Linked DNA regions of Danio rerio. The protein of the gene in region 2 purifies or fractionates together with the protein of the main gene of each other region. This does not show direct contact. Links are inferred from orthologs where the notes say so. Each region holds a gene or a part of one and is shown on either strand. Other genes may lie near its edges. The genes, in order: daxx and dnmt1.

The links.
Region 1: the proteins of dnmt1 (region 2) and daxx purify together in Homo sapiens (affinity purification with western blotting; 4 studies listed by BioGRID, with this or other methods). This does not show direct contact. The link is inferred for Danio rerio from reciprocal best matches to the Homo sapiens genes DNMT1 and DAXX.

The regions. Positions count from the first base shown.
Region 1 is NC_133194.1:8,084,705-8,089,147, reverse strand, and holds the start of daxx (death domain-associated protein 6), read left to right. Parts: upstream 1-1,489; 5' UTR 1,490-1,491; coding exon of another isoform or gene 1,492-1,539; 5' UTR 1,540-1,555; exon of another isoform or gene 1,556-1,672; coding exon of another isoform or gene 1,673-1,747; intron 1,748-3,751; coding exon of another isoform or gene 3,752-3,820; intron 3,821-4,443. UniProt on the Homo sapiens protein: Transcription corepressor known to repress transcriptional potential of several sumoylated transcription factors. Down-regulates basal and activated transcription.
Region 2 is NC_133178.1:57,150,506-57,154,958, reverse strand, and holds the start of dnmt1 (DNA (cytosine-5)-methyltransferase 1), read left to right. Parts: upstream 1-1,575; 5' UTR 1,576-1,722; coding exon 1,723-1,769; intron 1,770-2,363; coding exon 2,364-2,406; intron 2,407-4,453. UniProt on the Homo sapiens protein: Methylates CpG residues. Preferentially methylates hemimethylated DNA. Associates with DNA replication sites in S phase maintaining the methylation pattern in the newly synthesized strand, that is essential for epigenetic inheritance.

The DNA.
Region 1 (4,443 bases), on a different chromosome or scaffold from region 2:
TGTGCTTATAATTAAACCATGCATGCACTTAGTAATAAAACATTTCTTACATTAGACTTTGAACTCCAAAACATGCCTCCAAAACATTTATTCATCCATTTTCCTTCGGTTTAGTCCTTTTATTCATCAGGGGTCGCCACAGTGGAATGAACCAGGAACTTATCTAGCATATGTTTTACACAGGGGATGCCCTTCTAGATGCAACCCAGTACTGGGAACCACCCATACACTTATTCACACACATACACTACAGCCAATTTAGTTTATTCAATTCACCTATAGCGAATGTCTTTGGACTATGTGAGAAACTGGAGCATGTTATCTTTGGAAATGTCAACTGACCCAGCTGGCACTCAACCTTCTTGCTGTGAGGCGACAGTGCTAAGCACTAGTGGTGTAAAGTAACTAACTACAAATACTCAAATTATTGTATTTGAGTATTTTTTCTCAGGAATTGTAATTTACTAAGTAGTTTTATAAATGTGTACTTTCACTTTCCCTTGAGTACATGTTTAGTGCTTTATCTGTACGTTTACGCCACCACTTTCCTTCAACCTGCAGTTACTACTTTATTTTTTCTTTGTCTTGTCTTTTATTGTCAAATTGCATATAGGAGGTACTTTTTACTCATACTTTAAGTAATATTTACAACAGCTATACTTTTACTCTACTTGCTCTACATTTTTAGGCAAGTAATGGTACTTTTACTTATGATTTTTCAGTACTCTTTCCACCACTCTGTGGTCACTGTGTCACCCTTGGGATTTTGTATTTTTATTTAATTTTGAAATGTATTTTAAATACATTTTTAAAAGGTTAATCTGTTGATTGTGCTTTTTATGATATGCTATTAAGGCCTACTTTATATAAAATAAATCTTTGAAAAACATTGCTCTATAAATTGATTAATTATTTCTAATTAATAATCAACTCATTATTAACCCTTTGATGCACTAAATGGGTCTAAAGTGACCTGTCTCTGCTTATTTTTTCTATATCTATTTTATAGCTTGTGCATCAAAGGGTTAATACAGTTAACAATTAATAATTCAGCTTATTTATTTAATTTGTTATTTTATTTAATTTTCTTCAAAATGTAGGCCTCTGGTCTGGTGTTTGGAAAAATAATAGAGATTTTTATTGCCTGTTTTCTTTATTTTCTTTTACTCTCAGGTAGCCAGCACATAATAATTGTAGAATTCAACCCTCACACTACTAGTGGCTCCCTGATAAGTATCAGTTTTGTTTCTGGAGAAGCAAAACACTAGATGAGCACCTGCTAGCGCTAAGAAATTAAATTTGCTTCATTACCACATCATGTTATTGTTATCTGAAGAACTGTACAATCAGTTTATTCTAGAGTCTCCAGTTCCCTACGAGGCGCTGATACGCATCTAAATGATTAGCGTAGCAAACAGATCGCAGAAGAAAAGCAAAGCATTCACCCAATCAGCGATCAGTATACTGACCGTCAGCGAACCAGCGCGCCGCATGTTGAGCTGTACAAAGATCCAGCGCCGAGTTTCAGGATCCGAGCGCGTAAGTTCGTGTTTTTTGTCTATTATTGATCGACTTCGAATAAGACTTTATTTTAAACATAATCACGAAGCGTTTGCGAAGGTTGTGAGGAAACTGACAAATATGAAATTACACCTTAGCTATCGTCGTTTTAATGCTTTTAACAAATAAACGGAAGGAGTCTGTATGGCATGTCCGAATTAAAGAGCTACAGTCTTCAAACCAAAAGGCAAAATAACTGAAATTATTACATTTATATTTATGTTAAGTGTAAACAGTGTGAAAATCTCATTGACACATCCAGTTAAATCTGGTTGATATGGTATTAAGTCAGTCAAAAGACATCATAAACATAGTTACCGCTCAAATTCACTCGTATTGTTATTGTGTTATAGGAGACGGATGTGGAGGCATATTATTGGATATAGATACATGTTATACGTCTTGTGTGGTTTTGTTTAATGTCTGATAATTCTTTTTATCAAGATGGTGACGAATCATAAGTACTAGTTAACCGAGTTTGTTGTGTGTGAATCATCATAGTTGTGTCACATTATCACATGATCGAAAGCTAGCAATATGAAGTAGCATTTGGCTACGATTTTAAGATTCCTGTCTTTAAAATTCTGGTTAGATATTTAATTATAGTATTTCGTTTAACTATGTAATGTTTTCTCTTCAATTCAGAAAAATAGGGACATTTTAAACGTGGCTTAGTATATCAGAACAACAACAACAACCAGAGAAACCCACATATCTGTCATAATTTACGTCAAATAAACTCTATTCCATAGATAAAGTGAACAGAGTGAATAATTTCACATTAAGTGTTTTCTCCCCTATTTAAGTCTGTTATGAGAAAAAAAGCCTAACTGCTTATTGTTAAGGAACATTAAGCCGTGTTAAGCTTATCTTATTCCTTACTTGGATTTCAATGGGGAGAAAACACTTAATGTGATATTGTTCACTTCATCTATGGAATTAGAGCTTGTTCATTTTACAGTAATTAATGTTAATTACAAATTTGACAGAAATTATATACAGTTTAAGTCAGAATTATTAGCCCCCCTAAATTATTAGTCCTCTGTTTATTTTTTTCCTCCAATTTCTGTTTAACAGAGAGCAGGTTTTTTCAACACATTTCTAATCATAATAGTTTTAATAACACATTTCTAATAACTGATTTATTTTATCTTTGCCATGATGACAGTAAATATTATTTGACTAGATAACTGCTTTTATGCTAGCCGAAATAAAACAAATAAGACTTTCTCCTGAAGAAAAAGTATTATCTGGCATACTGTGAAAATTTCCTTGCTCTGTTAAACATAATTTGGGAAATATATTAAAAAAAAAAAAAAAAAAAAAATATATATATATATATATATATATATATATATATATATATATATATATATATATATATATCAAAGGGGGGCTAATTATTCTGACCTCAGCTGTAGATGAAGTTTTTCTATTTCCACATTTGGACTTTCTCCTTAATATAATCTCATAAAAGTATTTGCAAATTCTAAATGGAGAAATTATATTAGCAGCCGATGACTATCAATGTAGAACATTGTTCACAGTCAATAAAATGGTGCTTATGTTGTTTTGAAGTCATACGTAAATGCAATTTCAGACCTAATATTAAAAGTAGTGTGGTAAACAATTTAGAGATCGTTAAATGAATGAATGTGCAAATATATCACCAGCTTTACCTCAATTTAAATAATGGTTACACACACGGCATTGTTGGTTTACAAAAAAAAATTAAGCAAATATAATCCTGTTGCACGTCTACATTTGATTTTGGTTTTATTGTAAAGCAAACTCAACCAGAAATCGTATTAAAGTAGAATCTGAGGTAATTTATGACATACTTCAAAAAGTAAAGATGATTTAGTGTTCAAAAATGTTTTATTTTGAATTTTTTATTTATTTTTTAATACATTGGTCTTATACAGTTCATGTTTTCAGATTTTTCATATTACAGTATATGTATTTATTCCAGGTACGTTTACTGTAAATAAACCAACATATTAACCATTTGGTAGAGGTTGATATTTTAGAAATTATGGGATGTGTTGACAAAAATTCATTAAACGTGTTAACTATCGACATTGGGAGTTAAGAAATGGAATTCCAAAACTATTCTTGGTTGGGGAGTTAAAGGGTTATGCGTTTAAGCGTTTGTCCCAAAAATGACATTGTTGATATTATTGTTTTCCAGGTAAATGCTGATTTTGAAACACCAGTTTGGATTTTGACTGTCTTGATCAATTCAATGCTCAGTGCTCAAGTATGTACAGACAAGCAGAATACATAAATATTAAATATTTAAAACGCATACCTATTGTGTTGATGTCATGATAGATAAACCATGCTCTTGGATATGCTGTTCTGTAAAATACACCCAAAAATATCACCTTGTCCCTTGTACATTTCTTACATCCTGCTAGTTTCAGTTTCACTTAAAAATTGATTTGACATTTAAATGTTGTTCATATTAAGGCCATATAACTCCTTTTCATTTTAACCTTTACATTCCTTTTTCATTGGAGTAAAGTGAAACTGTTACAAACTTTTGATTACTGAAAGCTTATTTGGCCATCAAAACTGAATATTTTTTTTTAAAGGAAAAAAAACATTGCCCAGAAATCCCCTATTTTATAACTCAAAATGTCTTTTTTCCCATTTTAATTTAAAAACGTTTTCAGTTTTAATGGTTGAATTACATTTTAGTAATTAAAAAGATACATTTCGATGAACAGGACAAGCTTTTTGCTGTTACAAATATATATTAATACAATTATATTATACAATTTCATATTTAGGTAATCTGAAATATTCTTCATTTTTAAAAATCATTTTAAGATTAAAACATGAATAAAATGTTGTGTAATTATTTTTATTTTTATATAT
Region 2 (4,453 bases):
AATATTAATAATAATAATAATAGCATAAATAAAACCTTAAATCTTACTAATATAAATGAAAATAAATTTAGGGTGGTCAATCGATATGAGCTGACAAAAGTTTAGAAAGCTTTACAACACTTTTTGTTTACATCTGTTTTATAGATTTTTATAAAATGTAAAAAAAAATAATTAAATGCTTTGACACGAGGAGAAGCTTTATCAAATCTACATTTGTGAATAGAAAATTTTGCTACAATCAACATATAATTGCACAAAAATTTAATTTCTTTGTTTTTCATAAAAATATCAAATTTCACAATGTGATAGCCAAAAACAGGTATTACATTTTTTTTGTTATCGACCCCCTATATAATCTGTCCCAAAAGGATTTTAAAATAGTACAACTGTATATATATATATATATATATATATATATATATATATATATATACACATACATACATACATACATACATACATACATATATATATATATATATATATATATATATATATATATATATATATATATATATATATATATATATATATATATATATATACACACACACACACACACACACACACACACTTTCAAGCGGAAAATGCAAGCATTACTGTCTAGAATTCTAGAAAACTCATTACATGGATAAATGCCATTAATTGTTTTGAAGTGTTCTTCTTTCATTTTAGGTAACAAGGGAAGTGACAGGTATCTATTTCTTACTTCAATAGTGTCCGCCTTAGAAAATCTCTTTTCTTTTTACAGGAATAGGGAAATATTCTATTATAATATTCTATAATTGTAAGTAGAACTGAAACTTAACTAGCTAGCCAGCTAATCTGGCTTCATGGTACAGGCCCCTGTTTGGCCTAAAGAAAGATATGGGTGGTGACAGAAAAGGTGTGACTAGTCTAAAATAAAAATTTCGTTTAAGTCATATAAAGCATTCAAAGTAGACCATTAGGATATTTTTTCTATTTGACATGCCTGTTTACTGCATTTATTTATCATTCGTTGTTGTTGTTTAAGTGTCTCTATTGCATAAATAAATGTATTAACTTATTTTGAACTATGTCACAGTTTTGTTGTCGCAGACTCGCAGGAGGAGCTAAATATTTCAACAGGAAGCGTTAATGAATTCATATCTTTTATTTTTCTTTCTCTTTTCGAAGTTATCTTTCAGTTAACAACGTTAATTGTTGATCTTTTGTTAATTGTATACATGTCAACACTACTTTATGTGCTTTAAAAAAATAAAAAAAAGGAGGTAATGAAATTCATGGGCAAATATGCACCCCTGAGGCAAAGCAAATGTGGTACATCCCGTAATGGTTGAATCTCCTAAGGGGTGAACATGAAAATAAACCTTGAAATGAGCTTAATATTTGTTATTCCTTTACCCTTAACGTATACATTTAATAAACCGAATTAGACCCAGATACACTCACAACACTCTCACTGATTTATTTTAAAACGAAACACAAACGCACAACTTCTTTGACACCGTCCATCCCCGTGCTTTAAATGAATGGTAGCGTCCGACTCACCCGCGTTTCCGCGCGAAAAGGCGGCCCGCGCGTATTTCTCAGCTGCTAGCGACAATTCATAAAGCCCGTTGAGCCTCTCCAGCGCGCGCTGCAGTTGGCACTGTCACATATTAATACCCGCTTTTATCTGTTGTTGTTTTAAATCGTGTTTTTAAGTAGTCAATTCCTTTGATCAAAATCGAACTTGAAATGCCTACCAAGACCTCATTGTCTCTGCCAGAGGATGTCAAAGAACGGTATGGTGCTGTATTTGCTTTTAATGCCACTGTGATGGTCGTTTGCTCATTCGCGGGCTTTACACGCTTCGCGCTGCAGACTGATCACGTCACAAAACGGCAGTTCGGTTGTTTATGTGTGCCATTTTTAAGCGAAAAGAGATGCTGTGTTTTTATTATTGTTAGCATTTAGCCAGGCTACGAACGTTCTGCCCGCCACCAGCTCGCGTTTCGTGGGTAAAACAGGCGATTGTTTTGATGCGAACAGCCTCGCAGGTGTCAGTATGACTGCATTTGGCGCCAAATACACATGTGTCCTAGTGAAGCCCTGCCCGCCTCCTGTCTCCCTCTGCTCAATCACTGCACGAGTCATTACAGTTATACCCACGAAATACTAATGAATTCTGTGTACTTTCTTAAAGACACGATTATCTGAAGTGGTTTTCGTGAATCTGGTCTGTCCATGCGTGTTTGTTTACTCGCGTTGTCCAACAATGTGTTGAGATGAATGCGTCCAGTTCAATAAATTTTGGATTTATCAACGTTTATTAAATGTTATTTATACTTGAAGTGGTGATTGTGCAATGCTAATTGGATGTTTGTTTATTTTTCTAGGCTTCAGGTGTTGGATGAAGGTGGAGACAGTTTGTCAGATGAGGTAAACATTTACGTTACTGCGTATGAGTTCAAATGAAATTAGGTGGTTACTTATTGCATGTCCACACTAACACAAAATAACACAATCCCTTTCATTCAGAATGTACAGTTTAACCGTGTAGTTGTTGTGCATCTGGCAAAAGGCTTTCTTAAACTGTTGGCCTTTTAAACTGTATAAACAGTTTTGTAAAGAGGCTTTTGATATACAGTTTACAACATGAATCATTAATAAGAGTTTCAGTTTGTATACTTGTGCTCTTTTTCAAGGCTATTTTGTTCAAGTAGTAAGACTAATGCCTTCACTGAAAGTTCTGAGAGTGCTTTTTTTTTTTTAATTGCCTCACCAAGATTTTTTTTTTTATTGCATTTCTTATCTCCCAATGTCGCTAGTAGACAAACACAGTCCTATCTTTCAACACATCCCATAATTTCGAAAACATCAACCTCTACCAAATGGTTAATGTCAGTTTATGGTAAAACTATCGGAATAATTACATGAAATACTATTTAAAAAAAATAATTAGAAAACATGGTGCAAGACCATTTTATTTAAAAACAGTCAAAATAAAACTTTGAATACTAAATTACTTTTTAGAAGGATGCCATAAACTATTTCAGATTCTCATTTAATGTGTTTTTAGTTGTTGTTGTTGTTGTTGTTGTTTTTTTTTTCTACAATAAAATAGTGTATTATTGCAACAGGATTGATTATTTTGTTTTGTAAACCAGCAATGCTGTGCGTAAACCATTATTTTATTATTTAAAACAATTCTTTAAATAACTTTAACAGTCATTATTTAAAACAAATATGTCAAAATATGGTCAACCATTTGGTAAAGCAGGCAGTTAAAGAGTTAACAAGAGGAAATATTCACTTTGAAGACATAAAATGCATAATAAAATGGTGCCATTTGTACGTCACACATTTTACTAGCACCTTAGTTAAGGATGCAAGTAGGCCATTTTGTTACCCAAAATGTGACATGTGAAAACTGCAGCTCTCTCATTGGCTGGAGAGAATCATCAGTACTTGCGTCATTGGATTTGCTGTGTGAAATAACAAACCAGTTGAATCAGCAACAGCCACTGCCAGATTATTTCAATGAACCGTTACGCAACTTAAAATCGCTATATCATGATCAGCAGACTTTTAACGTGAAAACGCCTTTTAGTAACCTATGAAAACTCACCACATCCTGAATAACTTACCCCGTTTGTCATATTTACAGGAAAGCCTAAATGCTTTCATACATGTAGATTAATCCTAAAGTTTTAACGATTGCTGAAGGAAACGCCTTTTGCCTCATTCAAATCAAGGAAAAATTAATCATGCGTGTTGTGAACTGTACATCGGAGTGTTTGATCTACCCAGGTGAGATCACATGCGAGAGGTGAGAAAGAAAAACTTAAGACCCTTAAAGTAATAGTTAACCCAAAAAAAGTATCAACACATGACTTGCTCCCCCTCACACCATCCTCAGTGTACAGATTTTTGGATAAAAACCTTTCAAATTTGTACCAAAACTGTTGTCCTGATAACCACTCTTGTCTTGGGACAATTTCTTATTTTTTTAACAACTTCAAGTGTTGGTGACAATGCACATTATGCATGACTGTCAGAGTCGTATGCAGAATGTATGGCTTAAGGAGTGAGTAAATGATGGAGTGATTTACATTTTTTGGGTGAAATATTTCTTTAACATATTTGTTGGTTTGCATGAGCCCAAAATACATTTGAAGTAGGGTCCAGAAGGAATTAAACACTCCTATAAACTAATAGAGGTGTTGCAACTGTCCATAACCCACTCTCTCTGAAGAAGTGCTCGGGTTTTTCCACGGGTCAGGGAGTAGTGTTGTTATGCTCTGAAACCATGTGCCTCTATTGGAAATTGTGCATGTAAAAGATGGCATATGTGAATGGCCCTTAGTTAAAATCCTCCTCAGCCATGGTGAAAATTAGCCTTTGATCCAGTATGCGTGCGTTTTGTGTACAAGCTTGAACTTTAAACTAGCGCACTGTTAGTATAATTTTTAGTTGCAGCAGTTTT